4 linked regions of the Oryzias latipes genome follow. The protein of the gene in region 1 interacts with the protein of each later gene in a pairwise test. Links are inferred from orthologs where the notes say so. Each region holds a gene or a part of one and is shown in the gene's direction. Other genes may lie near its edges.

Region 1 (8,077 bases):
GTCTGATAAAGACCAGAGTTTGTTTTCTTGGAATGTCAGGTGTGGACTAAACAAGTGAACTCTGATCCGTCTGTGAAGACAAGGTCTTGGGTTGCGTGCAAAGACTGAACTGTCAGACACACCGGAGTCCATTTGCTTGGTTCAGATGACCTTTGACACCAGCTCACATTAGCAGGCTAAATGGGAAAACAAACTCTAATCTGGACTAAAAACCTGCAGAGTCCATAGTCTACTGGTGTGGAAAACATACGTTCCTCATGGTAGTTTTAAAAGATTTGTTTTCTGTAAACACATTTAACAAGATAAATTAGATTTTTTGTTTTATGATATGATAGTCACCAAGTGATAAACTCATAGACTTGGATGAAAAAAAACATTTTTTTATACTCTCTCTTATTTTTCCAGACTTTGAAAGCGGAAAAGGCACTGGTAGAAAAATGTTAATCATTACTTTTTGTTTAGAAACCTCTTGAGATGTAATGTACTGTGTAACCATTGGTTTGGGTTTGGCTTTAAACCCATCAGCACACTCCAGGGAGATGTTATTTGACTTTGCTTCAGGTTAATGTGTCTGGTATGTTCAAATGCTTCACGTCAACAAAATGAGTAGAAAATTACACAATTTACAGCTGTGTTGAGATAGAAGGAAAAAAAAGACCAGAGAAGCAAGTGGTACAAAGTTTAGGACATATTATGTGTACCGGTATGTCACCAACACAAGGGAAAAGCATGATTTTGAGAAATGGTACAGAACAAATGAGTAACAGGAAATGCTCAGACATGTTTCTCAGATGGCAAGTTTACCAAAAGTCTCAAAACTGAGACAATATCATCACATCTTTGTGTGTTCTGTAGCCACCTAGAGATAACGTTTGATTTTCTTTTTTTCTCGGAAGCGAAATAAGTAAAATGAGCTGCAGATACGTTAACTCTTACAAGAATTATTTCTGTCACATCCGGTCGTTGCTGTCGTCAGGAAGAAGATAAAAATGATAGTGTAATTGGGCCAAGAAGAGACAAACCAATCTGATCAGTCTGGTTAAAAAATATATATATTTTTTTTGGTTTGGCTTTATTACAGCACCGTTAATTTAGACATTAAAGCAAAGAGAAGGTCATAAAAACGAAACATGCACAACTGTGAGTTACACAGAGTTAGTGCCAACTACTATCTTGCACCTGCATGTATTTATGCGAGGGGGAGTGTATGTTTGCAAATGCGAGAGGGAGATGGTTAGTCACAGTCAGGAATCAGCCGCTGCAGATGTCAGAGGCCGCAGGGTCAGGGGTTGAGCTGGATAAGCCAATCACAGGTCAGCATGGGGCTCAGGGGCTTTCTATGTGAAGTGAGGGGTACTTAGATGGGATAAGTGGAGCAGAGAAAACACTAAGCCTGCTTTTAAACCCCAGTTTCAGTCACCTCCTCAATCGTCATGTGGTCACTATAACCCGCTAGCTGTTATCCAACAACATAAGAAACCGCTCAGGTTTACTAGAACTAAGCAGATACAAATAAATTAATTAGGTAGAGAAAGCAATAAGTGCGCTTTACTTATTTACTGTTACTTGAGAGCCAACTGCCACTTAGGGGGTGCTTGTTGACAAAACTTCAGAACATAAGACGGTCAACTCATGTTTTCACATCAAGTTCTTCATAAATTTACAGAGTAAATATGCAGAAGAAAACAAAATTATGTGTTTTTTAGCCAAATAAACAACATTATGTGTTATTTAGCCAATAAACATTTGCTGGATAATATACTTTATCTGTTGGAGTCTAACAAGTAGTAAATCAGACGCTGTCGTTTTTTATTTATTCATTTTTTTGTCAAAACCTAATTTTTATTATTTATACTGCCATTATTGATAATTCTATTAATGTTTTTTGTTGAAATTTGGGAAAAAAAACAATTTTTTTAACCATTGGGAAAACTACAAATAATAAAAATAAATAAATAAATAAACAAATAAACAAATAATAACAATATTAATAATCATATTTTTTTTGCATTTTTAATGTATATTTTCGTATAGTTCAAGTCCCCCTAAAAAAGAAAATGAATAAAAATGTGTTTGTCACATCTGGTCAGAAAAAAACGAACAAAAATATAGCTCTTAGTTTGTTTATTTAATGACAGAGTGTATAAATATTTGACCAAAATCTTGTCGTGAAATAAAGAAATCTGCTACCAAAACCCTAAAATATCTCAAAAACTTTAAAAGTCATTGATGAAATAACTGTGCTGTCTCACCAATTTAGAACTTATTATGAATGCAACATATGAGTTAGCTCATTAGATTTCTCCTTTAGGAGGTGGGACATGGAGTAAGTGCTAGTATAAGATGAGTGCAAATATTGGCTCCAATTGGAGAGGAAGAGAGTAGCAGAATGAAATTCTGTGGGTAGAAACATGGATTTCTGTTGTTTTTTATTTTTTGCGCATATGTGATAGAGTTTATTCTTGTTTGTTTAAATACATGCCCATGCTCGTTAGCATCTTTATGGATGTGTTTCATGCGCACGCATCTGCGGCTCCTTTTGGCCCACGTTACTTTGATTGACAGGTAAAACTTGCTTTACACACCACAATTCCCGCCCCCGTAAGCCTCAAAAGTTCCACATCCTTATCGAATGCTCATTGGCTAGAATCCTTCTAGCTGATCGAGGTCAACGGACCAGAGGAAGTTTGCCGAACTCCTATTGGTCGACTGCCGACGCTACGTCGTTGGCCCCACGTGGATCGGCGGCTCTGATTGGCTAGAGACCATTTAGAGGGCTGGTTCAGAGTTTCGGTTAGACGGAAAGCGTGACACCGCGTGAGAAAGTTGCCATTGATGGAAGGCAGAGCGAGACGGAGGAGTGTACGTGCCGCTGTGGGAGTTTTTTGTTATCAAAACTAACGACATATTTCCTAATTTTTGTAAAATCTAGTTTGGACACAGGCTTACGTACAAATTTGACTTGGATACATCTTTCCCTGATTTATTCACCGCCGACTACCGACCTAGCCAAGTGGAAACTCTTCAGTGAAACTAACTTGTATTTATGTGTGATGATGCTAACCTAAAGCTCGGTGTTTTACGGTTCCATTATTTTTTTCTTTTGTTATTTTTGCCCGTTCGGTTGACGGTTCCTTCCCGGAGAATTGCCAAACAAATACAGGAGTGACTGAGGTTTCTGCCTCGCCTTCTCACCTGGTTCTCGCCGTCCTCCTTCAACTTCAAGCTGGCTCCGGCTAAATGAGCTGTGTTTTTTCCGGTTGATTATATACGGACGCTGCCGCTGAAGCGGACGAGGGACAACGACCCGGGACCACAGCCAGCCAGGAGCGGGGATTCACGCTAACGGCCCATGAACGTAGACCGAGCAGTGGATAGATTTGGTTTTCTGTTCGAATATTTAAGGACAACTGAAAGGCGGATGGATTAGTTTCCTTAATCAGGAGCTTCATACATCCTTGTTGTGCTTCATTTGATCCCTCGTTAGCGGGGTTTCAGGACAAGACGCGTTTGCAGTCTCCCCGGAGATAACAATGTTTCCCCAGGGAAGACACCCGGTAAGCTACTTCCTCTTTTTGCTCCATACTTCAGCAGGTTGAAACTGTTTACAGGAAGTATTGCCTCTTTGTTTGATTTGCACGTCTCACACACCCCCACCACCACAAGCTCTCTCAGGCTCCATGCCTGCTTATCTCCTTTTCCCTTGATAATTCTGCTCTACATCTGCCCTGGGGGCATCAAAGAAGAACTGATAATATTGTCTGATCAAAAATTGAGAAGTTGTTGATCTAACATCTTAGCTGCAGGAGGAGATCATATGCAGCAGACGGCTTAATCCTGTGTGTTGGTGTGTTTCAGACACCCCATCAGGCCCCGGGCCAGCCCTTCAAGTTCACCATCCCTGAGTCACTTGACCGCATCAAGGAGGAGTTCCAGTTTCTTCAGGCACAGTACCACAGGTGGACAACAGAGACGGGATTCACTCTGAATGGCCTGTTGTTTCTGAGAGGAATTTCTTTTTTTTCTTCACATTGTCATCCACCCGCTAATACAAACTTTCAACATCTAACCACAGCTGCCCTCCTTTGCCACATTACACAAAAACACACAACTCTAGCTACAGACAAAACCACCAACCCTGACTGGGTTCACATAGTGAAAAGCAAAAACATAAGCAGTTAGTACTTTCACTGTGGTAGGTCCAGTGATGGGTGAGAGTTACAGGGAGGCTTCATAAATCTTCCTTTCTGTCCCTGCATGTGTAGATAGTGCTCCAAGTATTATTTGGTGTACTTTTTCAGTAGTTGATCTGTAATTTGTGTTTTTATGGAATGTTGGGCACAGCAGGTGGAAACTGCCGATCCTCGTCAAACATTTAAATAAAACAGACATTTTTTTTTCATTTCTTTTGTTGACAAGAATCTAAACTTTGATGGTAGAAAAGAGAGATGATTGAATTTTTGTCACAGAGTTGATTGTGTTCCTTTTTTTCTTGTTCAGTCTCAAACTGGAGTGTGAGAAGCTGGCCAGTGAAAAAACTGAGATGCAGAGACACTACGTGATGGTAAGCTTCTTTCTCTGCTCCTGAACCTAACAGAGATCCATATAGCGTTTGGTGTTTTTTGGGTTTTTGAGGCTCCTATGGTGTCTTTGTCTTTTTAACTGTGCTTTTTACCTAAAGGTGTAATAAAACCCAACAATCACAACAACAACAAGAAGGCTTTTCGCACAACTAAAACAACATTCCAAGAATATGTGCAACTTCAAAAAAAAAAAAAAACTACAGCCAACAAAATGTCGTAAAAAATATCAGTTTGGTTCAGGTGAAGCTGTTGTGTTGACTGTATTGTTAAACTGAAATACCTAAAACACTCCTTACCTTTACAGAAAGGTGTGTTTTAAGTCTTAACAGCCTGTAAGTGCTTTGAAGCCACATTGACACTCAAAGGAAAACGCCTCAGACGCGTCTTTTATGTGTAGTCTTACTCAGACATTGATGAAGACCCCACAAGACAGTGGAGTTTAATTTAGTTGTTTAAAAATACATTGGAATCTGAAGTACAGCATTTGACGAATCTACTTTCTTGGACTACAACTGCCTCTGGCAATGATCAAGGGACATTTTTTTTAGTAAAACATGCACAACAGCAAAAACTGCATGATTTTTTATCAAAGTCTTACCTTTTAATTGTAGCCCTGTAAGTTTCAGTTAGAAATGGCTACAGGGGAAGCTGAAGTATTCATTTGAAAAATTATTTATTTTATTAGTTGAAGCATTTGACAAATTTGCCCGTGTTGTTTAAAGATGTGCTTTTTAGTTTGATACTTTTCAAAGTTTTCGGGGTTTATCTCACTGACATGTGCCTCTTCTCTCTCTAGTACTATGAGATGTCGTACGGCCTCAACATTGAAATGCACAAACAGGTACGCCTGCTTATCTGTGTCGTCTACATCTTCATGTTTGAGCCTCTTCCTTCTTTTGTGTTCCACTTCCTTATCGAAAGGGGTTTTGTGGTATTTGTTGTGTACGTGTTGACATGTCCTGTGTTTGTGTGGGCACACAGATGCTGTATATTTGTGTTTATTCGTTTGTGTATTCTTTTTTTTGTATATATTGAATGCTTGTGTGTGTGTGTTTGTGTGTTTATTTGTGATTGATGGGGCTCTGTCTCCATTTCCCCAGTTAGGGCTGGCCGGCTGAGCCCAGAGGCACAATGAATGGCTCTGTAGATTGATTGGTGCTGTCTAGAGGAGCGGCATGGTTTATTACATTAGAGGGGCAGGGCCGGGGAGGCAAAGGGATCGATCAACCTGAAGCCGATGGAGGATATACAGTGTTAGTGCCCTCCCCCTTTTTTTTTAAACTGGTGGTTAAAGTAGATGGAAAGGTGCTCTATGGTATAGCAAGGTCACTGCATGCACACTAGAATACACTGGGTAATAAGTCTACATAAAAATGCAGATTAATGGTGAAATATACACATTTTTGTCTAAAAAGTGTGAACTCAGAGCTGTGGAAACTTTTGTTTTTTTTCCTGATGCACACAAACACACATTTCCCCACAGGAGTGGTGCAGAGCTCAGAGCATTCATCAGTAATTACCACTGCTATCGACCAGTCAGACCAGAGGAAATTAGGGGTGAATTGGCTTGGCTACTTCACAGAGAAATCGAGATGGTTCCCCGTCTCTTTTACACTTTTTTTCCCCCCTTCTCATTGCATTTCCCCTCATGTTCTTTTCTTCTGTTGTTTTCTTCCTTTTATTCCTCCCACCTCTGTCCTTTTCTGTCTGGCTTGCCCACTCTGATAACGGTTGCAGGATCATTCTTGTGGTTTGACCCAGACCCCACCCCTCCTCTTGTCCTTTTTTTTTTTTTTACTTGGTTCTCTCTTTTCATTTTACGTCCATGTGAAGCTGCTGTTCTTTCATTGCGAGGGAGATGCATCTCTTTCTATTGTCCACACGGACATAAACACATGCACTAAAGCTCCAAGGGAGGTCATTAGCTTGAGGCTGCAGTTGTCAGAGCAACAAGCTTCTTTGGCGGGGGGTAAGGGGGGTACAGACTAACAACCCACCTCCTGCTGGGGATGTACAGAGGGGGGGGTCTGTATAGTGTGGCATTAATGCTCCAATTATATGTGTAATGGGAGGCCTATTCCCTTTTAGGGCAGTGTGTGCCCCTTGATGCTTTCAGCTTCCCTCTGTTCTCTTAACTTGTGTCATGTGGATTAATGCACCACAGTAAACTCTCTGTAGTTTAGAAAAAACACAAACTTTTTGCAAGTGTTTTGGGTGAACATGTGTATCTGGTTTCCCTTGTTTTTCTTGTCTGGATTTACTTTGATATCAACTTGGATTATTTGTGGTCTGTTTAGTTAGTTAGTTAGGCTTGCTTGGTTCTCCTGGTGGTAAATGGCAACACTATTCCCAGACGTCTTATTCACTTAGCCTTTAAACAAAGCTAATTAAAGGCTTACAACAAGACTAAGCAAACGAATGTACAGGTATGTTATGCCTGAAATAGATCTTTATTTAAAGTTCCCCCATCATCAGGCTTTTATCGGTGGTGGTTCGGCTGCTTTCTGTCTGCATGTAACTTTTAAAACAATTTATAAACTTTTCTGGTTTTTAGCTATCCTACATATCTTATTGATTATTGTGTTATAAGAATAACCACAGATCAATGACAGAATTTTAAAAGGTTTTCTTTATTTAAAGACACACTCCAATGAAAATAGTGTTTTTAATGTGTTTTTGTGGGATTTTTCTCATGATAGAGGACATATGTAAAGAAAATGAAGCTTAAAAATCAGGAGCAGGTAAAAAAAAAAAAGGCTGTTATTGAAAAAGCTTATTTCTTATGTTGAAAAAACAATGACTGACGCATCCACCTGTAGATGACTAGATCCATGTACGTCTTTGCTTTCCTCGTTTGACGTGGCGTCTGTCTCGAAACCGAAATACAGCTGGATAGCTCCAATGGTGTTCTGAGGGGCTGTAAGCTAACAGGAGTGTGTAAACAGATGGGTGATAGGAAGGGGGAGTGGACTTGCTCCGCGCACGAACGGTCCCAGCACTGCTCAGAGGGACATTTCTAACAAATTCCAGCCGCTCTGCTGAAACTGTCCTAGAAAACGACTGTTTTTCTGTTTTAATTGTGGTTAAAAACTGCATAATCATACTTAAAATACCTCTGAGAACAGTTTTAAAACATGGTTAGTCTGTCTGTAAGTTATGATTCATCAACACATTTCATTTCTTTGATCTCAACAGTTGGTTCTGTGAGGATTGAATGAGTTTCATGCTCGTCTTTATGTAATGTAATGTAATAATATTCCTATTAGGGTTGGGCGATGTCCCTTAAATTGGCCGTTGATGTTTGCTGTCAACCATCGGGATGGACGATGACATCGTCGTGCAGGGAGGGGGGTATTTTTAATATTTCGGTCTTATATAATTGCTATTCGTTGTTTTACTTTATTTATTTTATTTCCCAACTAATGACTCATCCGCGATTATCCAGTATAAACTGAGGGAAGTGACTTTAACAAAAAAAGTAACAAACAAACTAG
Region 2 (7,959 bases), on another chromosome or scaffold:
ATCTGCAATGCCATGGATACAGTCAACAGAAACATATCGGATTGCATTCCTCACCACATTCCTCTCAATATCAAAAGGTAGGTATTTGAGGATATCCTTAGTGCCTTTACGCCTGTGTTTGTGCTCCGGCCCACTGGGGCCAGCGCAATAACTCTGGACTCCCTCCCACCGCCTCACATTGCAATGGCCACTCTCGGTTTTTATTTAGATGGCTTGTGTGCCTTCCCAGTCCGGCCGCTTTTCAGATTCATTTCCAGGTAAACACAGCGTGGCCAGCCACAAACCTGCAGCCAACAGGCGTTGTCACAGCTGTGGCAGATAATGGCAAGTCCAAACTCCAGCCCGGCTCTGGAATGTTTACTGTCACCACAGGCTGGTTTGCAGCAAATATCTCTTTTCCAGCATTTTCGGAGAGTACAACTTATTTATTAATTTTATTTTGATGAATGACGTGCTTAACCTTTCGCCCCGCGTTGTTTGGTGTGGTTTGGTTACTCCGGACGACACAAAAAGCAACATTCTGAGTGAATCTTTCATTTTTAGCAGGAGAAGAAAAGCTTACTTTGAAAGGTGAAACGGAAAGTTAACACATCCCTGCCAACAACTCCTGAGTGTTTGAAGGAATGTTCCTCCCACAGAGCAGAAAGCAGCATATGCCCATTCTAGCCCTGCACCCAAGATAACCTCCCTGTGCCACATTAGGCTCTGGATGACTGCTATGCTTTTACATCTATAGTTGATAGTTCATAATGTCACCAGCTTTTTTATGAACAGTCAGGTGCTGACAGCCGAATGTGTAAAATGCAACACAACTAATTCATTATGTTAATTTTATCTCCATTGCATTGGTGCATGAGAAACTAAAGGTCACAAAAATTTTGAGTTTACTCCAAAAAGTGACCAAAAATAGTTACAAAAATACTACAACAAAGCAAATACATTTACTAAGTGAGCAAAAAATTTAAAAGAATTACTGAAATAAATCATTTTTACACTTCAGAGATTAAAATCTATAGTTTGTTAACAGAATTAGCTCATAGGTTGGACGTATTGTTGTGCACAGTTTCTAATCTGACTATCAGACAAATGTAGTAATTCAATAAAAAAACTCTTTTAGTATGTTTCTTCTTAGATTTCCCATAAATCCCTGAGGTTTCTTTGTTTTTTCCAGATTCTGTTTTTTTAGGAGTTTTTCCTTTCCGCGAAGGAGGGACTAAGGGCAGGGATGCCCAGTTAAGTTTAGTCTGTGTAGTCAAAGTTTAGTATTATCCTATTGAATTCTATGCATTTATGATCCTTTTTGATTGTATGTTTACCTTACAATTACCGGTGCGAAGCCCATTGAGATGACTGTTGTTGTGAATTTGGCCTATATAAAGTAAATTAAATTGAAAAACAAAAATTGAAAAACAAAAAATTAATAACTTATATTTCATTATGTCACGTTGTTTTAGATGTTTGTACCTTGACTTGTTTGACTTTGGAAGTTAAATCTTTGTGAATAAATAAACAAAGTATTTTGAAAATGTTTTTTTTTTGGCTAAACACCATCACTACAACTTTAACCCCACTGGCAGCATAATTTCCATCTCCATAACATAATCAATGTTCTGTAAGAATAAAAAACAGTTTAATTTCATTTGAAGAGGGACAATTTCTACAACAAATTCAAATCAAGTTCATGCACCTTTGGGTTTATTCACTGTTTTAACCAAAGATAAACAAATTGGAGCTATAGGTGGAGGAGCCTGAGGCAAAGCAATATGGTTTGGTCAAAGAAACCCCTGATGTTACTCCAGGAAAATATATTCCTCCTTTAGTCAGAATTCCTTCACTTAAGCTATTAAACAATGTTAGTTAAAAAATAAATAAATAAAAACTCAAAACCGGCTGACATTAGAACTGCAAGAGGCCCCGGATAAGGTTTTTTGACCAAATCCAAAATGTGACCTTCACCCCAATGAGAGAACCAAGGCGGGTTGATGATTAACTCTGGAATCGGAGACAAGTCTCATTTGGGAACATAATGTCACTCAGGTCATGGAAAAAATTTTAGGACTCAAGTGATGCATCTGGAATTTCCAATTCAGTCTGTTTTTATAATCAGGTCATTTAGACAGAAATCATACATCCATCTCACAGGAACTTCTGGTTCTAACATTTCACTTAAAAAAGCTGCAGGTGCGTTTGAACAAATTCCAGAAAAATGCATGTGAGGTGACCTATTTTTGCATATTTATGCCAAAAATTACAAAGTGTGAACAAGTGACACTAAAATCTGTTTTTCTGAAGTTTATAATATCAAATTTTAAAACTCAAATCTATCCTTGTTTTAATCAAGCTGTACTTTGTAAACGGGCTTTGCTCCTCAGTGGTCAGGTCACAAAACGATCGATGGAGCTTAAACCTTTATATGCGGAATGGCCTCGGAGAGAATTCAACATTTATATTAATTCATTATTTAAATAAAAAATGAGACCATATTAGACAATAAAATTTGGTAAACATTTTTATACAAACAAATGTTCAAGTTGAGAAAAAAGCGCATCCCAGCCCGACTTCAGCCGTGCGCCGGTGCAATCCCAAATCCTCAAACACACAGCCTTTTTCTCATGATCTAATTTCCAAGTTAAGCAGACTGTGTTAGTCCCTCGTCAACACCACAGGTTTACTCGCCTTTACTAATGGGGCTCTATCCTGATAGTTTTGCTCTTGCGTAAATATGCAGTCAAATAGATGTACAACCACCGACACGTGGCTGACGGCGCTCGGCAGCCTCACCTTGATGTTTGTTTCATACAAATACAGTAAGGGCTCCGGGAATCAGGTTAACACTGCAGCCCCTGGACTCCCTTTTAGAAGAAAAGCTGACACATATATTTACCTCCACTACTTAAAAAGCTCCTCACAGAAACAGTTGCTACTATTTTAGGAAGGATGGAGTGAACTGCAAAAATTCTGTAAATTTAACGAATAATGAATTACATGTTACATCACAATGGATATCGACTTTATTATTTTTACTGAATTGGAGTAAAAATAAAAATGTGCTAAGTGCACATAATTTAAACAAATCTGATTTTTTCAGTTTACAGAATTTGAAGATTTAACATTTGAAGAAATAACCGAGAGAGGGCGCTCTGGCGCTGCGTCTGGTTTATTTACCATCAATGAAAACATTTGGAAATATTTTAATTCACTCATGCAGGTCGAGAAACGCACCAAACACTAAAAAAACGAGCGTTCTCTGTAAAAAAAATCACCTTCATTTTTATTGTTTTATGATTTTTTCTGAGAAATAAAAAGGCATTGTTGTGTTTCAAATTCGAATGTGACTATAAGTAAAGAGCTGCTGCAAAATAAACGAGCTTTACCTGTTTTTTTTTAGCTTAATGATTAAAGGCCGTTTTAAATCACAGCTGTGTTGTGCGCACGTGCACATATGTGAACTCGTTGCAGCTTTTAGTTCTTTAACATCCTTGAAAAAAAATTGTCAAAAAATTGACATATTCCGTAAAAGGTACTGTTTTTTTAGTATAACCTGATACACAACAAGGACCTATTCTTGTGTTTTGCGCAAAAGAATCATGTAAAAACAGTCTCATAAATGAATTGATTTTCGTATTTTGTGGTTCTACTTTAAAATATTTAACAGTTAAGACCAAAATTCCTTGAAGGTATCAAAAGGTTATGATTTTAGCATTGCTGAATGAGAAAAACTCCGTGCGTAAAAGGAACTCTGAAAGCGCACGACATTCCTTTCCCTTTTATTTCCCCCTTACAATAAGATTAGTTTTAAATGAAGCTTTTCATATGAAACTGTTCTTTTCACTCAGCGCAGGTGTACAATTGGGGTTGGGGGGGATGAGAGGGGGAGCCTGAGGAGTCTCACGCCTAGGTGCGAGGAGATTATTCAAATAGGGCCCAAGGCGTAGAAGTAGGGATTGGAGGCTTGCCTGGCGCACAGAGCTATATCACAGCGTTAACGAGCAGCACGGAGCGTCATTTGAACTCCGCTCACTGACAGACGCGTCGCGGCTGTCTGTGCGCGACACACATGCGCCAGCCCTCGACAAACGGACACGCCGACCACCCAAAAACCCTCAGTGGTCCCCAGTCACTTGCTGTTAGAAAGACTTTTTGGCTTTTCCTCTGCTGGGAGACGCTTCGTTCAAGTCCTCCATGATGCTTGGAGCAGTTAAAATGGAAGGACACGAACACACCGACTGGAGCACATACTATGGAGAGCCCGAGGTGGGTACCTTAAATATAAATATATATATTTTTTTCGGTCTAAAGCCGATCCCATTTAATACAACTCAATATTAGCCCTGAGATAATATTAACTTTGTGATCAAATATTGACTTGAGGCGCCTCCAAATCCTCCCCCATCTCCTCGCAGCGCGCTAACCTAACAAAGTTGACGGATATGCGACGTAGAAACTTTCCCCTCAGATTTATTATTAAAAAACAAATTTAAATCATTTTTTAATTCATTTAGAAAATGTGGGGGATTTGCCTTGTATTTTTTGATGGAAATTTTCAGCTTATGTGTTAGTTTCATTGATTTTTTTCCATATAAAAATGTTAGTAGTAATTGAGTTTTACGCAGTGAAATTAACATACCCGTAATTGTGTGTTATTGAATATTCATTTTTTTGTATGATGCCAAATTTCATGAACATTTCTTCCCCCCTTCACTGACAGTGTTACACCTCTGTTGGAAACATGAACACCGGCCTGGGAATGAACTCTATGAACACCTACATGAGCATGTCCGGCATGAGCACCACCGCAAACATGACGGCCAACTCCATGAACATGTCATACGTCAACACGGGCATGAGCCCCTCCATGACCGGCATGTCACCAGGCACCGGAGCCATGAACGGGATGGGAGCAGGCATGACGGCTATGAGCACAGCCCTGAGCCCCAGCATGAGTCCTATGACCGGACAGCCTGGGTCTATGAACGCCCTGACATCCTACACCAACATGAACGCCATGAGCCCCATTTACGGACAGTCGAACATCAACAGGTCCCGAGATCCAAAGACGTACCGGCGGAGCTACACGCACGCCAAACCTCCGTACTCCTACATTTCTCTCATCACCATGGCCATCCAGCAGTCACCCAGTAAGATGCTGACGCTGGCCGAGATCTACCAGTGGATAATGGACCTCTTCCCCTTTTACCGACAAAACCAGCAGCGCTGGCAGAACTCAATCCGCCACTCTTTGTCATTCAACGACTGTTTCCTCAAAGTCCCCAGGTCGCCGGATAAACCCGGAAAGGGCTCCTTTTGGACTCTTCACCCGGACTCCGGCAACATGTTTGAGAACGGCTGCTACTTGAGGAGGCAAAAGCGCTTCAAATGCGAGAAGAAGATGTCCATGAAGGAGCCCGGCCGCAAGGGTGGAGACGGCGGCTCTGCCAACAGCAGCTCGGACAGCTGCAACGGCAACGAGTCCCCGCACTCTAACTCCTCCTCCGGCGAGCACAAAAGGTCCCTGTCGGACATGAAGGGGAGCCAGGCCCTGAGCCCGGAGCACACCGCGCCCTCCCCGGTGTCGCAGGGGCAGCACCTCATGTCTCAGCATCACTCGGTCCTGGCGCACGAAGCCCACCTCAAGCCGGAGCACCACTACTCCTTCAACCACCCCTTCTCTATTAATAATCTCATGTCATCGGAGCAACAGCACCATAAAATGGACCTTAAGACTTACGAGCAGGTGATGCACTACTCTGGATATGGCTCCCCCATGACCGGAGCGCTTTCCATGGGCTCCATGGCGGGTAAAGCCGGCCTGGATTCTGCATCTATACCCGACACATCCTACTACCAAGGGGTCTATTCCAGGCCAATCATGAACTCCTCGTAGGCTCCCTGTATGCAGACTGCCCCCCACCCCCATTCCAGTTTGTACATTTGTAAAAAACAAAAACAAAAAAATATAGACTTTGTGTACTATATGTATTTGAGATATTTTTGACCTTTCTCACCGTTTTAGTTGTTGAGCTTGTTAGACTGTAAGGAGAATAAAGTGTTGCGCTTCAAAGATGGACCCCAAAGACACAAAAACTGCTGTAAGATATTCACGTTTGCATAAGTGGACACAGAAACCAGTTTGAATTCTTTGCCAGATCTGTTCAGTCATTTGTGTATTTCCTATTTATGGTCTGTATATGTGTATTCTTGTAGTGACAAGAATAGAATCTATATTAAAGTGTTATTGTTTTGCTTTCTGAACATGTCGGTGTTTAAATTATTATTTTTAACATTATCACAATTGTGCAAAAAGGAGTTGAAATCCCTGTTTTCCAAGCTATATAAGACGGAAACTGGAATTTAGGCGTTCAATTTGCATAAAGTACAAACAGTAACAACGTTTATTCAAACTGTATTCCTAATTTTTCTATTAAATAAACACACAAAATATAAATGTGACCAAGAATAAATTATTGGGCAATTAAATCGATCATGAAATATCACAAATAACCTGTCAAAAACACAAGGAGTTTAGCATGTTTGTGTCTTTTTTTATTCAATAAAAAAACAAACATATTCTCACCCACGTGATGCTCCAATAAAGGCGCATACTTTCCACAGCGGATTAATAGATTTGCTTCATAAAACCGGGTACAATGCTCTCAATTTGTCTCACAGGAAATGCAAACAAAACAAATATATGCTCATTAATCCCAAACGCAAATGGATATATTGATGGAGGGGTGTGGGAGTCAAAAATCAGCATTTGCTTACACACTGTTTTATAAAATTTTGAATATTTTTGGTAAAATCTCAACAAAAATTGTTATAAACAGGACAGGAATTTTTTTAAAGTCACACATTAGTCTATTAGACTGTTTGCGCGCGCACATGCAGGCAAATTTACCAATATAGAAATATTTATGAAAGTCCGATTATGAGATTTAACGCTCGTTTAATCTCTGATTTAAATTCCCCCACACAGAGTATACGTAGGTGTCAGTCAAGCAGCATCCATGTCACTCATTTCCCCCCGCATCTGTCTCTTCCCTTTTTTCTTTACACGAGTCCCAGGCGCGCGCACGTGAACGCGCATGCAAAGTTTAGATCACTGAATGAGATTAAGAGTCATTGTCCCATAAAAACAGCCTCCCGTGGCGCAGGAGAAAAAGGGGGCTGATTCTGGAAAAAAGGGCCGCCTGAATGTGATGCTCTAACTTCTCTCCCCACAATCTGGGCTTCCATTGTCTGCTCCCTATTTTCAAAGTAGTCGGGCCCTCCCCTCTAGTTAGATAAGATAGGCTTGTCCATGAATCCAGAGAGCCCTCCTGCTGCCTTCCCTTCCCTGCTGGAAGCTCAAATCCAAGGCCGGGGACGGTGCGTGGACGGGGGACATCTCCGCAGCCTATAACCACACAATGGCCCCGTCGACTTCTGAACGCACGGGGCCCTAGTGTGCGTTCATTCTCCAGACCCTCTTTTAGATCGTACTTTAAACAGCGTGATCTGCGAATAAACAAAGCCAGTAAACAATTGAGTGGAGGCTATGCCCACATATAGGAAGTGTACACACACAAACCAAATTGCACAAGTGTAAACTTTGAATAGGACGCAGCAGCTCTGTCAATTTACACAGACATTAAATTTCGTTCTATTCATTTTAGACATATAATGCTGAGCTGATTTTTTTTATAGTACACTGATCGATATCTCTGTAAAATAATCTTTTTTTTTAACTAGCAGGGCAGTGAAATCTTTGCTTTGTGCTAAAGTCAACAGTGACAGAGTTTGAGCTCAAATAAATGCCGTGATGTCTGAAGCTCTTTGCAGAAGGCAGAAGGCGAGCTTCTACAATGGGCTCCTCTGTGGCTTTGCCAACGACATGCAGCAGCTATTTTGCACAGGTATGACGCTTTTATTATATCCACCAAAATGCTATATTTCTTTTAAAAACTTTTTTTTATTCGT
Region 3 (8,061 bases), on another chromosome or scaffold:
GATTAGATTAATGAAAAACAATTACAATTTAATCCAGAAGTAATTACGTCGTTTCGATTTTTTTTTCCAAGAAATACTGTGCATAACATTCTTAAAATAGAACACAAATGCAACAGAATGAAATAAATACATATAAAGTGTGCAAACTCACGTAAGGTTGTGGTAAAGTGATCTTGTCCGGATCGTTGTCTTTTTCGGGCTTCTGCGCCGACACAGGCTGGAAGGTGATCTTCACCATGTTTATCAGATCAGTGCTTGATTTGCTTTGTCTCCTGTCTGGTTCGGTGCGCTTGTTTCCGCCACCGGACCGGCGAGGCTTTATAGTAGCTGCGCAGGCTCGCCCCCGGGACTCTGTGACGTCAGAAGAGCGTCTTCTCTGACGAACAAACACTGTGTGGGTTTCAGGGAAAAGCCTCCACGCTTCTGTCAACATAAAATCCTTTAAAAAGAAAAAATAAATAATTTACCATGATATTGATAGTTTTTGTCTTTTCTGCGATTTTTAAGTGAAAACTATTGAATACTGAAATATATTAGGACACTTAAGGTACATGTCAAACTCCTTTTGAAGGAATGAGATTGTGTCAAGCTTTTACTTTGAAGTAGAGCTCCCAAATATGGCAGTGCTTTCCGTATTTTATTTAAAGCTGAATATCCTCCTCGGAAACATGTTCCCAACACTATCATCCGGAAATGTTGTGATATTTCAAATTGGCTCAAGTGACAAATTACACGGGTATAAAGTTATCTATCAATACGCCACTGCTACTGAACTGTAAAAAAGAAGATTAATTTTACATTTTGTTTTTTACATATTCACCAGACATCCTTTAATTTTAGTTGTAAGTAGGTCTAATATGCCAGATGTTGCAATGTTTTACATTAAAGTAAGAGCTGTTCTAGTGCTTATATTTTCTAAATTGATCCTTTATTTTGAGCTAACATTCATGCCAAATATCCATGCAAAACAATATTCATGTGTCAACTGACAACATAAGCAAATGATCATAGTCCTATTTGAACAGCTTTGGCCAGCATATGTAGGGAGTCATGACCAAGTCCACATGATTTATGAGGGTGATTCAAATGTAAATACAATGATAAAGTGTGCAGCTTTGTTTTAAATGACTATTCTTCTGAATGAATTGCAGTCCAAATCAGATCTTTGGTGTAGTTTTTTAAGGCTGATGGCTCATAATACACTTAATTTGGTCACAATAATGACCTGGTGTAAGAACTGACTTTTAAAAAGCAGTGCTTGGGTATGTAATATCCAAGAAGAATTACCGAAACCATGATTGGGAAATTAGAATGTAAAGATTTAGCATGAGGAAAATAACAGAAACGTTTAATTTTTTTTTTGTTTTTCTTCTTAAATCAATTTCCTGAGATTAAGCTGCAAACATGCAGAGATCAGATCTGATGCATCTATGCATTTAATCTGTCCACTTTTGGATTTGCTTCAAAATTGTATGACTTCCACAAATGTAACACTCAAACTTTCTTCGGTTTTTATTTAACATTTGGTTTCTCTGGTTACAATTAGCATCCCCCACTGTCAAACAATTGTCCTAAAAAGCAAGAAAATACGCCGCATGCTTCTGGAATGTATTTTATATATTCCATTGTGGGAAAAAAAGACAATTGGCTTTAATGCTGCAAGTATTTACTCCACGTCTTACCCCCCCCCCCCCCCCCCACTCTATTCTATGACAACAATTTACAGGAAAATTTATTTTTTTTCCTCCCCATTCTTTAAGGGAGACTTAATGGTAAAAGATTTAGAAATGAGATGTTATTAAAATCAGTTGCTTTTAATTTAATAACTGGAAGTAATCAGATGATTGTAAAAATCACATCTGACTTGTCTGCGTACACTTTTGAAATCTAATGATCGAGAGACCATGACTGACATGTTTCAGTGCGTTGTCAACTTTCGTTTAAACTTCCCGCAGACTTTTGGTCATATTTTATAAAGATTTGTTGTATCTTTCAGAATTACTTGTACCTTTAGTCACATATTTGTATAATGAAACCTATGTAGAAAAAAGGTCAGATAAGCATACTTTTGATGAACTTCCGTGTAAAACAGAAAATATGGATGGATTTCAGCCATTGCTATTGTCTTTTACCCTTTTTCTTCTCTACCCGTTTTAACTAATCTAAACGAAACTGTACTCGCCATTGTTTCTCATTTAAATTCTGTGTAAAATGTATACATGTAGTTTTCTCTTTTGAAAATGTGTGGACTGTGGACTGTCATTTTAGGGAGGGGTGAACTTTGTGTGTCAGGGTAAATATAATTGTTGTTTGTGGATATTTGTCTGTTAAGTGGTCCTGTAGATTAAAACTCTATGGTATTTTTTTCACCTTTCGTTTTATCATCTGTGCTTGAATGTACATAGAATAAGACCCCCTTGAAAACACAATGTTTCAACTTAATCGTCTTTTAAATCTAGCGGTTTAAATCAGCTAGGTCGATACTTTTTGCAAAGAGGGACAGATTTGGTGAAAAGGTGTGATGGCCAACCTTTCAGCCTGCATTTTTGAACCCTTACAATAACTTTACATTCAAATGAACAATTTATTTATATATATATTTTTACAATGGGATACTTTTCATTTCCTTGGAAGGTAAATATATCTAGATATTAAAATAACATAAATTTCTGATTTGATGACTAGAATTTTCTTTTCTTTTTAATAGATATTAAACCTGCATTTATGTGAAATTTTTCATATTATCCACTATTAGATGGTCATTGTAAACTTCTGAATTTAAATTACGCTAACAGCAAAACAAGAAATTGTTATCTTATAAACAAATAAATCTATTCTTCTCATTTGGCCCTTGAGGCTCTAAAGGGTTAAGTTGTTGCCACAATTTTACCACATGAATTAGCCAAATATAATTAAGTAATGTAGATTTTTTGTTTGATTTTGTTTTTGCTAACTTTCTTTCTTTCTTCCTTTTTTAATGGACAGGCTTTAATAAGCTAAGCTTCTACCTGCTCATTTTCCAACATGTGTCTATACTATTATGGTCAAGGACTGCCAAGACCGTATTGTTTTCGCAACGATGGACAAAAACTCAAAAAGGTTTAAAAAGCCCTCAGAGGAAAGGAATAAGCCCAAGAAGACACGACCAATGTGTAGTAAAACACAACAAACAAAGAAAGACATTGGTCCTAACCTCAGACACTTCTATATTGTATCTGCTTTGTTTCATCATTATCATGGCCTGCAGTGGTCCCTGACTGCAAGGACCATATTGTTTTCACAGTCGGAAAGGTTTCTGCGCCTTTGAGCGAGAATGTGACCACTGCCGCTTACTCAAAAAGTCACCAATATTTGGTGGCACACACCTGGCAAAAATGAATTTTTAGCAAAGTGAACGACCCCCCCTGTGAGAACTATGGGGATAAAAATCGTTGTGTGTGCAAAGGCAGTTTTCACAAAGTCAGATTACTGGGATTACCAGAAAAAAAATGACACATTATATCATAACTTAAAAAATAATTGATCACATTTGTGGTGAACATGAAAACAGACTCTTTACCCACAGATGCTAAAGAAACTTCTGACATTTCCTGGAAATGGCTCTAAAGTTCAAACACACTTTGATTCTTTCAGAGGGAGGAGAATCCAATGACCCCCCCTCCCTCCTATCTTAAACCCCTGATTCACATGCAAATGACCCTCAGTGGTGTGGACGCCCCCCCCCCCCCCCCGACCCCCTCAGACAGCAGCAGCATCAACGGCTCTTCCTCTCCCTGCGTCCCATCTGCGCCTCTGACAGCCTCCAACGGCTCTCCGGATTACCCCGCATCCTCCTGACACGAGGCGAGCAGCATGAGCAGAAGGCCCGGAGCAGACGGAGGTCCGGCCGACAGGAAGGTAAGAGCGGGAGCGGACACGTCTGCAGGCCCGAGCGCGGTGGGGCTGACCCGGTGACCTCGCTCTGCTCCTGTTCCTCTCTGGCAGATCATGATGATGAGGAAACCTCTGGTGGAAAAGAGGCGGCGGGCCCGCATCAACGACAGTTTACACGAACTCAGGCTTCTCGTCGCGGATGCTGACGTAAGATTTCGTCTCCAAACACTTTAGTTATTCAATACGTTTTGTGCCATAAATGTGTTTTTAAATCTAGCTACATGCGAAGATGGAGAACGCGGAGGTGCTGGAGGTGACCGTTAACCGGGTGGAGAGCGTCATGCAGAACCGTGATCAAGGTAAGAGTGACGCGCGTGGGACGTTTTCCAATCATAAAACTAACATTAATCGACTAAAACGTTACCTACCGCAGTATTTTTTAAGAAATATAGTTCGTACTTAAAGTTGGTGGCGTAATAATATTATAATTAAAGCTGTGCTAAGGCCACAGCTCAGCCAATTGGAGTAGAGTTTTAATTAACCTTTAATGAACCCCTTAGAAACACACTCCAATGAAAATGGTGTTTTTAAAATGTTCTTGGAACATTTTTCTCTTGATGGAGGACATACATAGAGAAAATGAAGAATAAAATGGCCTCTTGAATATTTCAGTAGAATGTAAACAAAGGTATGATGGGAAACTGATCAATTTTCTGAAGTTCTGTTGCTTTGCAGAAACGATGTCTTAGAAAACGACACAGGTTTTTTGATTTTGGCTAATAATGGGATAAAAATAATTAAAAGACCACTGGAAACGCTTTGAAATTAGATCAGAAGATGACTGGAATGGGACAAAATCCTAAAAATCTTATATCTGCAATATTGACATTGGATCTGTTTGATTTGATACATTCAGGAAGAAATAAAAATATTGTGAAGACATCTAGATGTGTTAGTCAGATTTTTCAAAGTCACAAAAAGATGCTGAACCCCACTTTGCTCCTGGTTGTAGGTTTTCATGGCCAGCTTATCCTCCATTGCAATTTGTAATCACTCAGGTTGCAAGGTTATCCAAAGGGAACCACTCCAATTGCTGCAAAATGTGGCACAAGATGATGACATGATCTAAGACAGGAATTTTACCCCCGTAGTACAATAGCATGCATATCACGCCATTTATCCTATAATTATTATGAACGACTAGAGCCTGTTTATACTTCATAGTGATTTGTAATCTCTTGGGTCACACTGGTTGCAAGGTCATCGGAAGGGAATTGCCCCAATTTCTATGAAATATGACACAAGATGATGACATCATCTAAGACTGGAATTTTACCCCTATAGTGCAATCACGTGCAAATCGTTCCATTCAATTTTTGCTTATCTCAAGTGATAAGGCTTAAAATAATTACACTGCGGTGGAGCAAACTCAATCCAGAAAATTGTGGTTTCCACGTCCCAGGATTTCAAAAACAAAGCTGCTTTTACTGCACTCAAAATACTAGAGGGGTTAGACATTATTTCATTCTTACGCAGTTCCAAAAAAAACAAAAAACACAACATTTTCACTGCACATGTGGCCTGGGCTTGAACCTCGTCTCTGCTCCTGCTCCTACACCTGGCTGTGGATCCTCTCTCCGGCGCGACTCACGCCGCCGGCCGTCCCCCCAAACTCCGTCTGGATGAAGTTCGTCTGCTGGACTTTAACCCTTGTGCTATCTTGGATGACCCCACCCTTACATTAACGTGTTCTCCCTACCATGACAAAGGTGGATAAAGGTGGAAAGATTTCTTGTAATTCATGGACACCAGTGAAGATCGCAAATCATTGAAGAAAAAAGGTTTAGCGCACTGTCTAGTGGGTCTAGATGACCCAACTCCCAATGTTAAAATGCCTAGGATAGCACAAGGGTTAAATATGTAGTTATAGAGTTTGATAAGTTAATTCTTCTCTATGAGTTCTGGTAAATCTCCTGCCCGTCCTGGGGGAGGATCCCTCCTTCATGTGGGCACCCCTGAGGTTTCTTCGTTTTTTCCAGAATCCGTTTTTTTTAGGAGTTTTTCCTTACTGCGAAGGAGGGTCTAAGGGCATGGATGTCCAGTTTAGTTTAGTCAGTTTGTTAGTTCAATTTAGTGTTTTCCAATTGAATTCTATGTATTCATGATCCTTTTGATTTTATGTTTTACTGTTGTTGTGAATTTGGGCTACCGGTATATAAATTGAATTGAATTAAATATTTACTTTCTAATGCAATAATAACTTCAGCTGTTTTCCATTAAGATATGGAGCAGGTGACAATTCATTTCAAATGGGCCTGTTTAAAAAAAAGCTATAAACTATAGTTATTTGGTATGTTCAAGCTGAGCCACCTTTATTGTGTGAACGAGAGTGCATGGGTAAATGGGACTGTGTGACTGTGAAGTGGTCCTTCAAGGAAGCTAGAAAAGCATGAAATAAGGATACATCATTTACCATTTTACATTAATGCCAGCTATAGGACAATGAATGGCAGTTTTATCTGTTTACATGATCAATTCAATAATCAGATTAATTGAGAAATCAGATGATTTGTGTTTTGGCACACAGTCTCAATGTTGGTGGTCTTGTATGTTTTCCTCAGATGTGGACGCAGTAAACCGAGAGGCATGTGAGCGTTTTGCTGCTGGCTACATCCAGTGCATGCACGACGTGCACACGTTCATGTCCAGTTGTCCGGGGATAGACCAAGAACTGTCTGCGGAGTTGTTGAACCACCTTCTGGAGAGCTTGCCCCTGAATGAGCAGAACTTGGTACCGGACGCTGCATCACACCACCCTGGCCGTAACAGCACTTATGCGCCGCATGACAGGCTGCAGATGGCCGGGGTGTCCCCTTCACCTTTTGCCTCCTCCACTGATGACCTCAGCTCTGATCTGGATGAAACGGACTCGGAGCACAGTCAGCGTTCAAACTCAGAAGAGGGAAGAGAGAGCCACGGAACGCCGCATGGCGTACATTTTTCAAAAGTTCTGTGGAGACCATGGTAGAACAAGTCAAATGATCAGTTTTTGGGAAAGACCTTAGCATGTGACAAAACACATTTTGTCAAGCATTTAGCTAGAAATAAACTATCTAATAAATACATTCACGTAGGGCTTAATGAAAATATGTGGCCCTCCTATAGGGTATAAATGCATTTGTAAATATGTACTTGTGTCAAAGACAATAGCTGTCCCACTAACCTAAGTTATTTTCTTCCTGCAACTTTTATTTATAGATGACTTAGTGAGCCACCTTTCTCCCCTTCAATAAATAACTTTCTAACAAATGGGTTTATTTTAAATTTCATTTGCAGAAAAAAGCAGGCACATTTCACACTCAAGGATCCCACAAACCACCCACCCTCATCTGCTACAATATTAGCTATTACTCTGCAACTGTGGGCCCATTTGTGCACTCTCTCTCGCTCAGCACATCCTAGGCATTTGTGAGGTGTGAAGTGAGTAATCTGCTCACTCCATATATGGCTCTTCTTGAGCTCATAGATGCTTGTTTTTCAAAGATAACTTGGTACCTAAGTTGCCCTGTCATGTTTCGCTTAAGATTTTGCTTTTGAAGAGTGTGCCATGCTCTTGTGCTTTAGTGTATTTGCTGTGATTTTCAAAGACAAGCTGAATTTATAAGCAAAAAGTACTTGATCTAATTTTATGACAATCCAAATGCATGTGAATTGTGTGCATCTCAGGAAGAAGAAGCACAGCATCTTAAGAATAAAAGTCTCTTTTCTGCTTTGGCGCCATCAGCTCCTGCGGCTTTGCTTTACGAATAACAAAAGGCAAAAGTTTGGAAGCCTCTGTGATCTGTTTTGTTCTTGTGATTCATTTCAAAGTGTCAGTTTTAACACAGATCACAGAACAACACTAAGAGTGACAACAAGTGAAAAAGCAAGAGAAAGAGAAAATCAGTGAGGGGGTTTACAGCAGAGCTCTCCGTCATCGGGGAGACTTCCTGTTTGGAAGGCCTGGATAATGTGGGATAGACGTCTCAACATCTAATAGCTGACTCAAGCCAAATTGCCTTGAAACTTTAAGGTCTTATTTACATTTCTTTTTTCCAGGTAATTTGTTCAGATTAAATGAGACTCATAAAAGTGACTTTAAAACTTTGCAAAATACAACAGAATGATCCAAATGCATCCGTTTAGCCC
Region 4 (8,344 bases), on another chromosome or scaffold:
CCTCGCTCTTCCCATCCGATGCAGACGACGACTGAGATCCGTCGACCTCCACCTCTAGCACCCGTATGGTCTCATGGCCAGACATGACAATCACCTGCGGCAAAATCAATCTCTCAGATCTCTCAAATGCAGCTGGAAAGAAAAAGAATCACTTTAAAGTTGTTTCTGAATAATGTGCGTGAAGGCTCACATCGCTGGGGTCATTCAATTCACTAAATTTAGCATTTCCCCACCTCTAACGGGATGCAGCGATCTCAATAACAACATAGTCAATGATCTGAGGTCATGAAAGGCCTAGCAAAGACAAGACTAGCACAAGACAGCTGAGAGGGGGAGAGGGTGCAAAGGCCGAATGCAGGAAGATGATGCATACCTGGTTGTTCTGGCAGGGAATTTCAAAGTGGAGGGTTTTAATGGCAGAAAAAAGACGCCTGCTTTCAGACAGAGAATGGCTAAGGAAAACAGAGAAGCCGAGCATGTGTTAGGACGGGATGATCCCAGGCAAACAAACAAGCAAAAACAAAACAAAAAGAGTCAAGCAAAGCAACTTTTGAGTCAATGACTGTAGAAGAGAATTGGAGCAAAGGAACCTACGTACAAACTATACGGCCATTAAAGCCGCGTTGAACGTTAAGCCATTTGAACTTTGACCAATCAGGGACTCGGATTTGGTAGTGGTGTATGGGTAGGATCCTTTATAATTCATGGCTGTGCCAAATATTTGAAAAGCAATCATGCCGTAGAAATGAACAATTGTGGTTTGTGCACGGACACCAAGTCTTTTATATGTCGAAATAAAGCTGTGAAAAAGAAAAGACTGCAGGAAGATTTGCACCGCTTCAACATTCCGCACTAAGCCTCTGTCAACTGTAGATACACATGCTAGTGTTTGGTAGCGACGGTCCGGTGTGAACACCGGATGCTAAAGGCATCACATTTTAACATTTGGAACGTGGGGGGGGGGGGAGTCCCTCAGTCCAGTTCTCATATACAGTCAATGGTTCAAGCTTATTTCAGCAAAACAGTATTGTGTTGATTTGAAGACAAAAATGTACGTAGAGAGGAGGAATGGGGGAAAAGACTATTAAAAACAACAGTTTAAAGACTGATAACGTGGCACCAAGCTGTGGGTAATAAAACATAGAAAGCTGACGGGTGGCAGTTAATCGTCCCATTATCATGTGGTGAGATGGGACATGAGGGGAAAACAGCAACAGGCCGTCGGCCTAGATGGATGGACGGATGGATGAGTCCTTCTGTACTGTGACAGACAGGTGGAAGTTACCTGCTCATTGACAGTCAGAGGGGCATCTTTGGAAGGAGGATTATTGGAGCTCATGGCGAGATGAACCGCTGCAGTTCTCCTGGGCGTCCTGCATAAACAAATCATGCAAAACCCTCTCATTCGTCATGCAGACTTTGTAAATGTAAAAACATACAACTCCCAAGTCCCTTAAACCCCCACTGCGATCCAAACATCAAAAAAACCTGTGTCATTTTCTAGTACATAGTTTCTGCAGAGCTTAGAATTTCATTAGGTTGTGAGCGGGACTGTTGGCACAAAGTAAGCCTACACTTATTTCCCCATCATGCCTTTGTTTACGTGCTCTCCCGCTAGCTTCCAGGCCCTCGCAGCCCCAACATGACATAACCGGCATAAAAAAACTGGCGAGTAACATTGGAGCCATCCAGCTGTACAGCTCTGAGCCAGATTCCAGCTGAGATGTGGAAAACGAAGACGTTCATAGATCCAGTCCTCTATAAGTGGATGCATCGGAATGGAGCAGGGAGCTTTTGGCCAGCTGATTGTAGTTCGTCTACAAGCTTTTTCAAAAGCATTTTTTTCATCTGCTCCTGATTTACAGCGATTTGAATCAAGAAATACTCAGAGACACAATTTTAATCTTAGTTTTCGTCATATGACGAATCGTGAGAAAAATGCAACAAGATTTTGTCAAAAAACATAATTTTGATTGGAGTGTGTCTTTAGAGCTGACTTTATTGTATGTTTATGGGGAAAATGCTTAGTGGTTGTTGGACCAGAAGGTCCTGAAAATAGACCCAAAAAATGTTTCAAATGCACAAAAAATGTAGACAACTGCCTCCAAAGAGGCACGAAGTGACCCAAATTTATCCCAGCTTCCGTAGAGGACTATTTCCTGCAGCAGAGCTCGGTCAGGAGCGGAGGGGATCTGTCAAAACTTCAGCGGGGGTTGACGGGCACCCCACCCCCATCCCGGCCAATAAAAGTCCCTCTGCGTCGGCCACTTCAGAGGCAAAGCACCGAGCACGGACAGCAGGAAGCCCTCTGAACCCGTGCCGAGACTGAAAATTAGATATTTCCCTCTCTTTATCATAAATATATAAATTATGCTAATTACGAGCATTGCATATTAACCCAAACTCATTTCCTCTCGCCATTTCGCTGCGACGCGGAGGACCGAGCCTGAACACAGCCCCGCTCTATTTTCTCCAACTTACCGCAAAAGCCGCCTGTTCTTCCGCACTCCGCCGCGTTCAAAGGGGCTCCTTGTCGCCGCTTGTTTCAGTCACGCATCATTATAAATTCACCTCAGCTCCCAGACAGGCGCTGTAACTGCACACAAAAGAGAGGCATTTGCATTGATAAGCAGGGCTGCAACGACGGGCTTCTCCCCACTAAATGCAAAGACGACGCCCTCCCCGCGACACTCAAAATGACCGAAAATCCCCCTAGGTGGCTCACTGAGTCCCTTTTTGAGCTGTAAAATTGGACAATTTTGCCCTAAAAGTGCCCTTTTGCACTACGTCATGAACATAATTTATGCAAGGAAAATTCTTGCATTGAAAGATGTCTGCCTCGACTCGAGCGGTGCCATGGTTCCCTTAAAGGGGCCGCGCCTCCTCCCGAAGGCCGCGCGCGGAGTGTGTCACCAACCAAATATTCCCAAAGATGCTTCCCAGAACTCTTCATTCGAGGATTATGTGCAATTTTCCACCGCAAAGAGCCTCCTGAAGTTATGCTTATATATTAATAGTTTGAAACAGGATTAATAATCAGTAGCTGTCATGTGTTTGTCAAAACTCTATTTAGTTTTTTTTTGTGTGCTTTTTGTTGTCTATGTGAATGACAAAAATGATCATTAGTGTTTTAGGGACAATTGGAATTTTAAAAATATATACATTTTATAACTCCTACAAAATAAAAAATACTCATTTGGAATATAGTATAGTGTAGTATAGTATTGTGTTAAATTGCAAGTAAATATTTGAGAGTGTAAAAACAACGTAAACCTAATTAAAGGTCCACTGGGAATGCTTTTACAATATATCAAAAGATTATCGGAGAAGGACTTTAAAGTGGTATTAGGGCTTATTTGGATTTTTAAAAATTAGAATAAAATAGTGTAGGAAGAGGACTGTATGTGTTTTTTCTTCTTTTGTCTTTTTAATGTGTTCATTAGTAGGCCTGCCAAATAAATTTCATATTTATCATTATCGCAATAGCCTGTGCAATATGCGTATTGCTACAGACAGCGTAAATTGCAATAAATAGTTACCTTTAATGTTTACACACATGTGAAAGCAATATTATGGCAGCTTGAAGTGTTTGACAAATGAAATAAAGTCCTTTAACCAATCAGATGGACCTCTTTTATGTTTGATCCCTGCCTCCTGTGTAGACGAGGGTCATTTGGAATATCGTTTAGGTTGCATTGACTTTTATTCAAGTAAAACTTTTGCAGTGAATTGGAAATGATGTATTAGTTATTTTTTTTTATGTAGCGTAAGTCATTTCGTAATTGCAATATTGATCACTTATATTGCACATTGCAAGTTTACTCGTTTCCTCATGCAGCCTTCTTGGTTAGTGTGTTTTTTAAATTATTTAAAGTTTTGGTTAAAGTTTTTGGTTAATTTAAAAACATGTTTTCTTATGAAAAAACAGTTAACTATACACTAAAATGAAAAATTAAAATTCTTAATGTCTACATTTTGATAGCTGTGCTGTCTTTTAATATTTCAAGAATCTAAATGATCAATATCCATTACAATTGTATGAATTAGTTTACTGTTGGCGCCAGTTGACAAAAAAAGTTTTACATCAACTGTAAATTTTACAGTCATCAAACACCAAGTATTTCTTTTATATTTAACCTACAAATAGAAGATGGAGTGATTCATTTTGTTTTTTTAAAACAGTTCCATAGTTCACCAGGTGGCGGCGCGCGAGTGCAGATCAAACTGTGAGCAGTTCGAGCGCAGATAAAGAAAGAATGACGTAACCACTTCCACAACAACAAGAAGCAGAGAAACAAGGAAGTGGATGATTGTGTAAAGCCGTAACCTATAAGAAGGCCGTGACAAGATTCGTTGAGTTCAGTGAAACCAGATATTTTTCAACCTCCGGATCAATCCACAACTATGAATAACAAAGGTATGCCTTCAGACCGCCACCAAATAATTAGCCAGTTGTTCGTTTTAACGACGCTGGCGTTTATATTCAGAGACGGGGAGCTAATCGTTATGGCATCTGATGCGAACTTCACGTTAGCTACGTAGATAACAATACGCTGGCGTCTTCTGGGAAACACCTTCGCCGAACCTAGACTTTTTCCCAAACCGTCAGAAACTGTTAGCAATGTAAATTTAGTGTCACATTGTATTCTTCTGCCGTTTACTAAGCAGGTCACATACTGTCCAGCCAGCTAACATGATTTTAAAGGGGAAGCTCACATGATTTCACTGTTAAGGATCACTGTTTGTTTCCTGCTTTTGTCCATGTAAACATCAGCGCATGATAATTTACGGTAACGTTAGTTAGTTTGGTGGCTATTCCTGTTGGTCGTGAATAAACGCTTATTGTTTTAATATTTAAAAAAATTACATTATTCGACCAATCACCTATGTTTGAGTCCACCTTACTGGAAATGGTGCTAGTTGCTAATTTGGCTATAGTGCTTGTCTTAATGCTAGCTTACTGGAAAAACATCTACGGTTCAAATTCTCAAGTTTAATATAACCTTAAATTATAATTTATGTGGTGAAAAGAGCCAGTTAATGTTTTCAGTTAAAAATACACAACCTTTGCCAATTTTAATTCGAAGATGAAATATTATTTTAAATGGGTTTTGTTTTCTATCAATTAACCATTTTATCAATTTTATAACTCAACTTTTTCTCTTTATTTCTTTTGATTTGGGCAGATTTTTGGATACGTAATTTCTGTAAAAATTGTATTATTAATTACGGCTTGCGTTAAATCCATTTATAAAAATAACATAAGAAATACAGAACAATTAAAATAGAAGTTAAACAAATGGTATAAAATGGTATGAAAACTAATCTACTATACAATGTGAACCTTTAATTTCCCTGGAGCTTTCTGAAACTATCAAGATTTCTTTTTTCTGGCTAATAGACCTGTCATAATTATCACATAATGGCTTAAAGCCCTTTTGTATTAGCTGACCATTTTTCAATATTGTCTCAATAGAATTTCTATTTAGACAAAAATTTGTTTTTTATCTAACAATTTAGATTTTTTTATCCTAAAGAGAATCAATTGGCTATGCAAATGAATCATTTTTTGTATTTTAAGCTCTGTATTTCTGACTTGAATGGGAAATCTTTGCACCAGTTTTTATTAGTGATTTGTATTTTTTATATCGACAAACTAAAATTGTTTCTATTTGTCGCATCTGGAGGTCAGTTATTCCAGGCATTTACCCAAACGAGTAAATCAGCATTTCAGTGACCTTTGGCATCCCAGGTTAATGCATTAGCATGACGAGTGTCTAAGGGGAATTTTTCAAATGCAAGAGTCTTGTCATTTATAGAATGGACTTGCTTGTATAGATCGTTCAGTATTTTTTTTAGGTCCAAATGGTTTGACGGGTAGATTTGAGTCCCACCAGACAGAGTTGAGTCAACTATCAAAACTCTGTTTGCCCATTGATCTCTGTTCCAACTCCCATCTATGGTCTTGAGCTCTGGATATTGACCTGAAGACTGAGACCATGAAAGCAAGCAGCCAGATTTAGCTTCTGCTGAAGGGTGGCTGAGCTTGTTCCTGAGCAGAGGAGGAGGAGGAGTTCTGTCATCCAGGAGATGAGGAAAATAAAGCAAATGGCCTCGCTCTTCTTAGTAGCCAGTTAAAGTGGTCTAGTAATAGTTTGTCTCCCCCCCCCCCCCCCCCTGTAAAAAAAAAAAAAAAGTAGATGGGTGGAGCCTCTGGATTTCATCATAAAACTCCAAGTTTCATGGAGGTAGTGATCCCAAAGATCATTCTTTGCCTGTTAACACCTGCTAACGAACTCAGACTGTCCTGGGTTCCTTCTAAAAGAAAATAACGTTTTGAGGGAATATGTGTTTAAGTAAGCAAATCTACAAACAAAAATTTGTCTTTTCAAGACGTTATCGAGTCGCCAGCATTTTCCCAATCTTTCCTTCTGTTCGCACCCATGTCAACTGGTCTCTTCCTGCAACAGTTCACAGCTCATGTTGGTGCAAGACTTTCCTCCGGCTTGACTTCTAGTCCTCCTCTGAATATCATGTGTTTTGAGTTTTTGACAAGTTTGTGGCAGTTTTCTTATGAAGGAGAACTAATGTAATAAAAAAATCATTTCACTTTTGTATTTGTCCTTTTAAATCGCTGTCAATCAAACTGCTGCAAAGACTCTCTGTTAGAATAAATTAGCTTTTGTGATGTCACAACGGCCCAGGAGCACATTGTTGTGCATATAAAAGGAAAAGCCTTTAGCCAATTACAACTAGCTTGGCGGAGAAAGTGAGGCTGCGTGTGTGTGTTTGCCTGGGGGCGGAGCTGGCAGTGCAGACTGTTCCTAGAAGGGGCTGTTCCTCACTTTGTGACATCACAATGTGAGAACCCAATCGTTTTTGTGGACTGGGAGGGGCTGGTGCTCAGAGAGCAGGTTTTTACAGGAATGCTCAGAAATTCATAAATGGGTCAAATTACCACTTTGGGGGTTCTTTTTTGCAAGGAATGAACATTATAATACACTTTGAAGCTCAAAATTTTGATTTTTGCCTGGTATAGGCCCTTTAGATTCAGGGCTCAGTGTTGTCTGGCATCTTAGAAAAACAAAATAGTTGCTTTGTCTCATTTTTGTAGGTATTTGTTATATTGTAGTTTGTCTTCTATACAGATGTCTCTCTGAAATTTCCCTTTTTTCTTGCTTTGCTCGAAGATTTAAAGTTTTAAAATAATTTAAACAATACACATTGACAAGGAACGAGAGATTCAGATAAAAAATATTTATAAAAATAATGATTTCTACATTAAAAAAAAGATAATTTATGAGGATTTTCTGTTAAAATCATATTAACAATCAAGGATGCAGAGATATACATTACGATTCGATCCAAACCTTTATTTTTGAGCCATGGTTTTGATTTGGTTTGATATTTAGATTTTGTATTACAAAGCAAGCAAAAACTACAAATGAAAAAAAAAAAAGATTTTTAATTTGCTAATAAGCCAGTAACAATGAAAGAAAACCCCTTTAGTTGGCTCATACTAAGACTGGTGCAATGTAATAAAACAAGAAATTATAGATCCTTCTTAAATTTAGCACAACACGTGTCTGACACACTGGTATGCAGGTGGGACGCACCGGTTTGATTCCCCACTACTCTGGCCAGGGGTCTATCATAAGGTTTGGTTTCAGTTCAAAACTGTGACATCTCTATCAAATATGCATTTTGATATTAAATAGTAGTATATAGTGATCAAAGGGGTACAAATAAATAGTAAACATATTCTTTAAGATCATTAAACTTTTATAACAAGGAAAAATGTTTATTTTTAATATCTTAATATCTTAATGCACCAGATAGAGGTTTTTATAATATAAAGTAAAATGTTTGGGGTTTGTAGGTTTTCTTTAGGTGAATCCACTGATTGTATGTGAGTATAGGACTGACTCCTCTCCTTGCGTTCCAAACAGGAACTACCCGCTGGCTTCAATAACCCCCCCCCCCAAAAAAAGAAATAATAATAATAATATTACGCCCACATCCCATAGACTTCTAGTGACAAATAAACAGCTCAGTCATTCTTTTTGCCAGAATAATCACTCTTGCTCTGATACTTTGTTTTGGACATGTTTTTGTTGGTAAAAATACATCTTTTGGTACTGTAATTTGTTGAAATGCTGTTTTGCAGGTTCATATCCACAGCAGGCTGTGTATCCTCAGCAGAGCACTGCACCTGTGTACCCTCCTGCTATGCAAATGTCTCCTCAGGCACCCCCCTACACGGATACACCACCTGCGTATTCTGAGGTAGCCCTCCTCTTGATAACCTAAACTATTAACAGACGAAAACCTGTTGTTGCTTTTT

The links.
Region 2: the proteins of transducin-like enhancer protein 1 (region 1) and foxa2 interact in a two-hybrid assay, tested with the Homo sapiens proteins (2 studies listed by BioGRID and IntAct). The link is inferred for Oryzias latipes from reciprocal best matches to the Homo sapiens genes TLE1 and FOXA2.
Region 3: the proteins of transducin-like enhancer protein 1 (region 1) and Her13.1 interact in binary tests that used the Homo sapiens proteins (3 or more experiments, as listed by UniProt). The link is inferred for Oryzias latipes from reciprocal best matches to the Homo sapiens genes TLE1 and HES6.
Region 4: the proteins of transducin-like enhancer protein 1 (region 1) and dazap2 interact in binary tests that used the Homo sapiens proteins (3 or more experiments, as listed by UniProt). The link is inferred for Oryzias latipes from reciprocal best matches to the Homo sapiens genes TLE1 and DAZAP2.

What each region holds. Positions count from the first base shown.
Region 1 is NC_019867.2:10,615,179-10,623,255, forward strand, and holds the start of transducin-like enhancer protein 1, read left to right. Parts: upstream 1-2,815; 5' UTR 2,816-3,533; coding exon 3,534-3,557; intron 3,558-3,858; coding exon 3,859-3,959; intron 3,960-4,500; coding exon 4,501-4,564; intron 4,565-5,379; coding exon 5,380-5,424; intron 5,425-8,077. UniProt on the Homo sapiens protein: Transcriptional corepressor that binds to a number of transcription factors. Inhibits NF-kappa-B-regulated gene expression. Inhibits the transcriptional activation mediated by FOXA2, and by CTNNB1 and TCF family members in Wnt signaling.
Region 2 is NC_019880.2:16,305,189-16,313,147, forward strand, and holds foxa2 (hepatocyte nuclear factor 3-beta), read left to right. Parts: upstream 1-4,014; 5' UTR 4,015-4,182; coding exon 4,183-4,254; intron 4,255-4,708; coding exon 4,709-5,884; 3' UTR 5,885-6,132; downstream 6,133-7,959. UniProt on the Homo sapiens protein: Transcription factor that is involved in embryonic development, establishment of tissue-specific gene expression and regulation of gene expression in differentiated tissues.
Region 3 is NC_019875.2:24,986,556-24,994,616, reverse strand, and holds Her13.1, read left to right. Parts: upstream 1-3,852; coding exon 3,853-3,897; intron 3,898-3,984; coding exon 3,985-4,080; intron 4,081-4,150; coding exon 4,151-4,232; intron 4,233-6,494; coding exon 6,495-6,901; downstream 6,902-8,061. Other genes in the region: integral membrane protein 2C, read right to left, coding at 152-238. UniProt on the Homo sapiens protein: Does not bind DNA itself but suppresses both HES1-mediated N box-dependent transcriptional repression and binding of HES1 to E box sequences.
Region 4 is NC_019865.2:22,360,301-22,368,644, reverse strand, and holds the start of dazap2 (DAZ-associated protein 2), read left to right. Parts: upstream 1-4,243; 5' UTR 4,244-4,404; coding exon 4,405-4,417; intron 4,418-8,167; coding exon 8,168-8,286; intron 8,287-8,344. Other genes in the region: pou6f1 (POU domain, class 6, transcription factor 1), read right to left, coding at 1-94, 374-452, 1,286-1,293. UniProt on the Homo sapiens protein: In unstressed cells, promotes SIAH1-mediated polyubiquitination and degradation of the serine/threonine-protein kinase HIPK2, probably by acting as a loading factor that potentiates complex formation between HIPK2 and ubiquitin ligase SIAH1.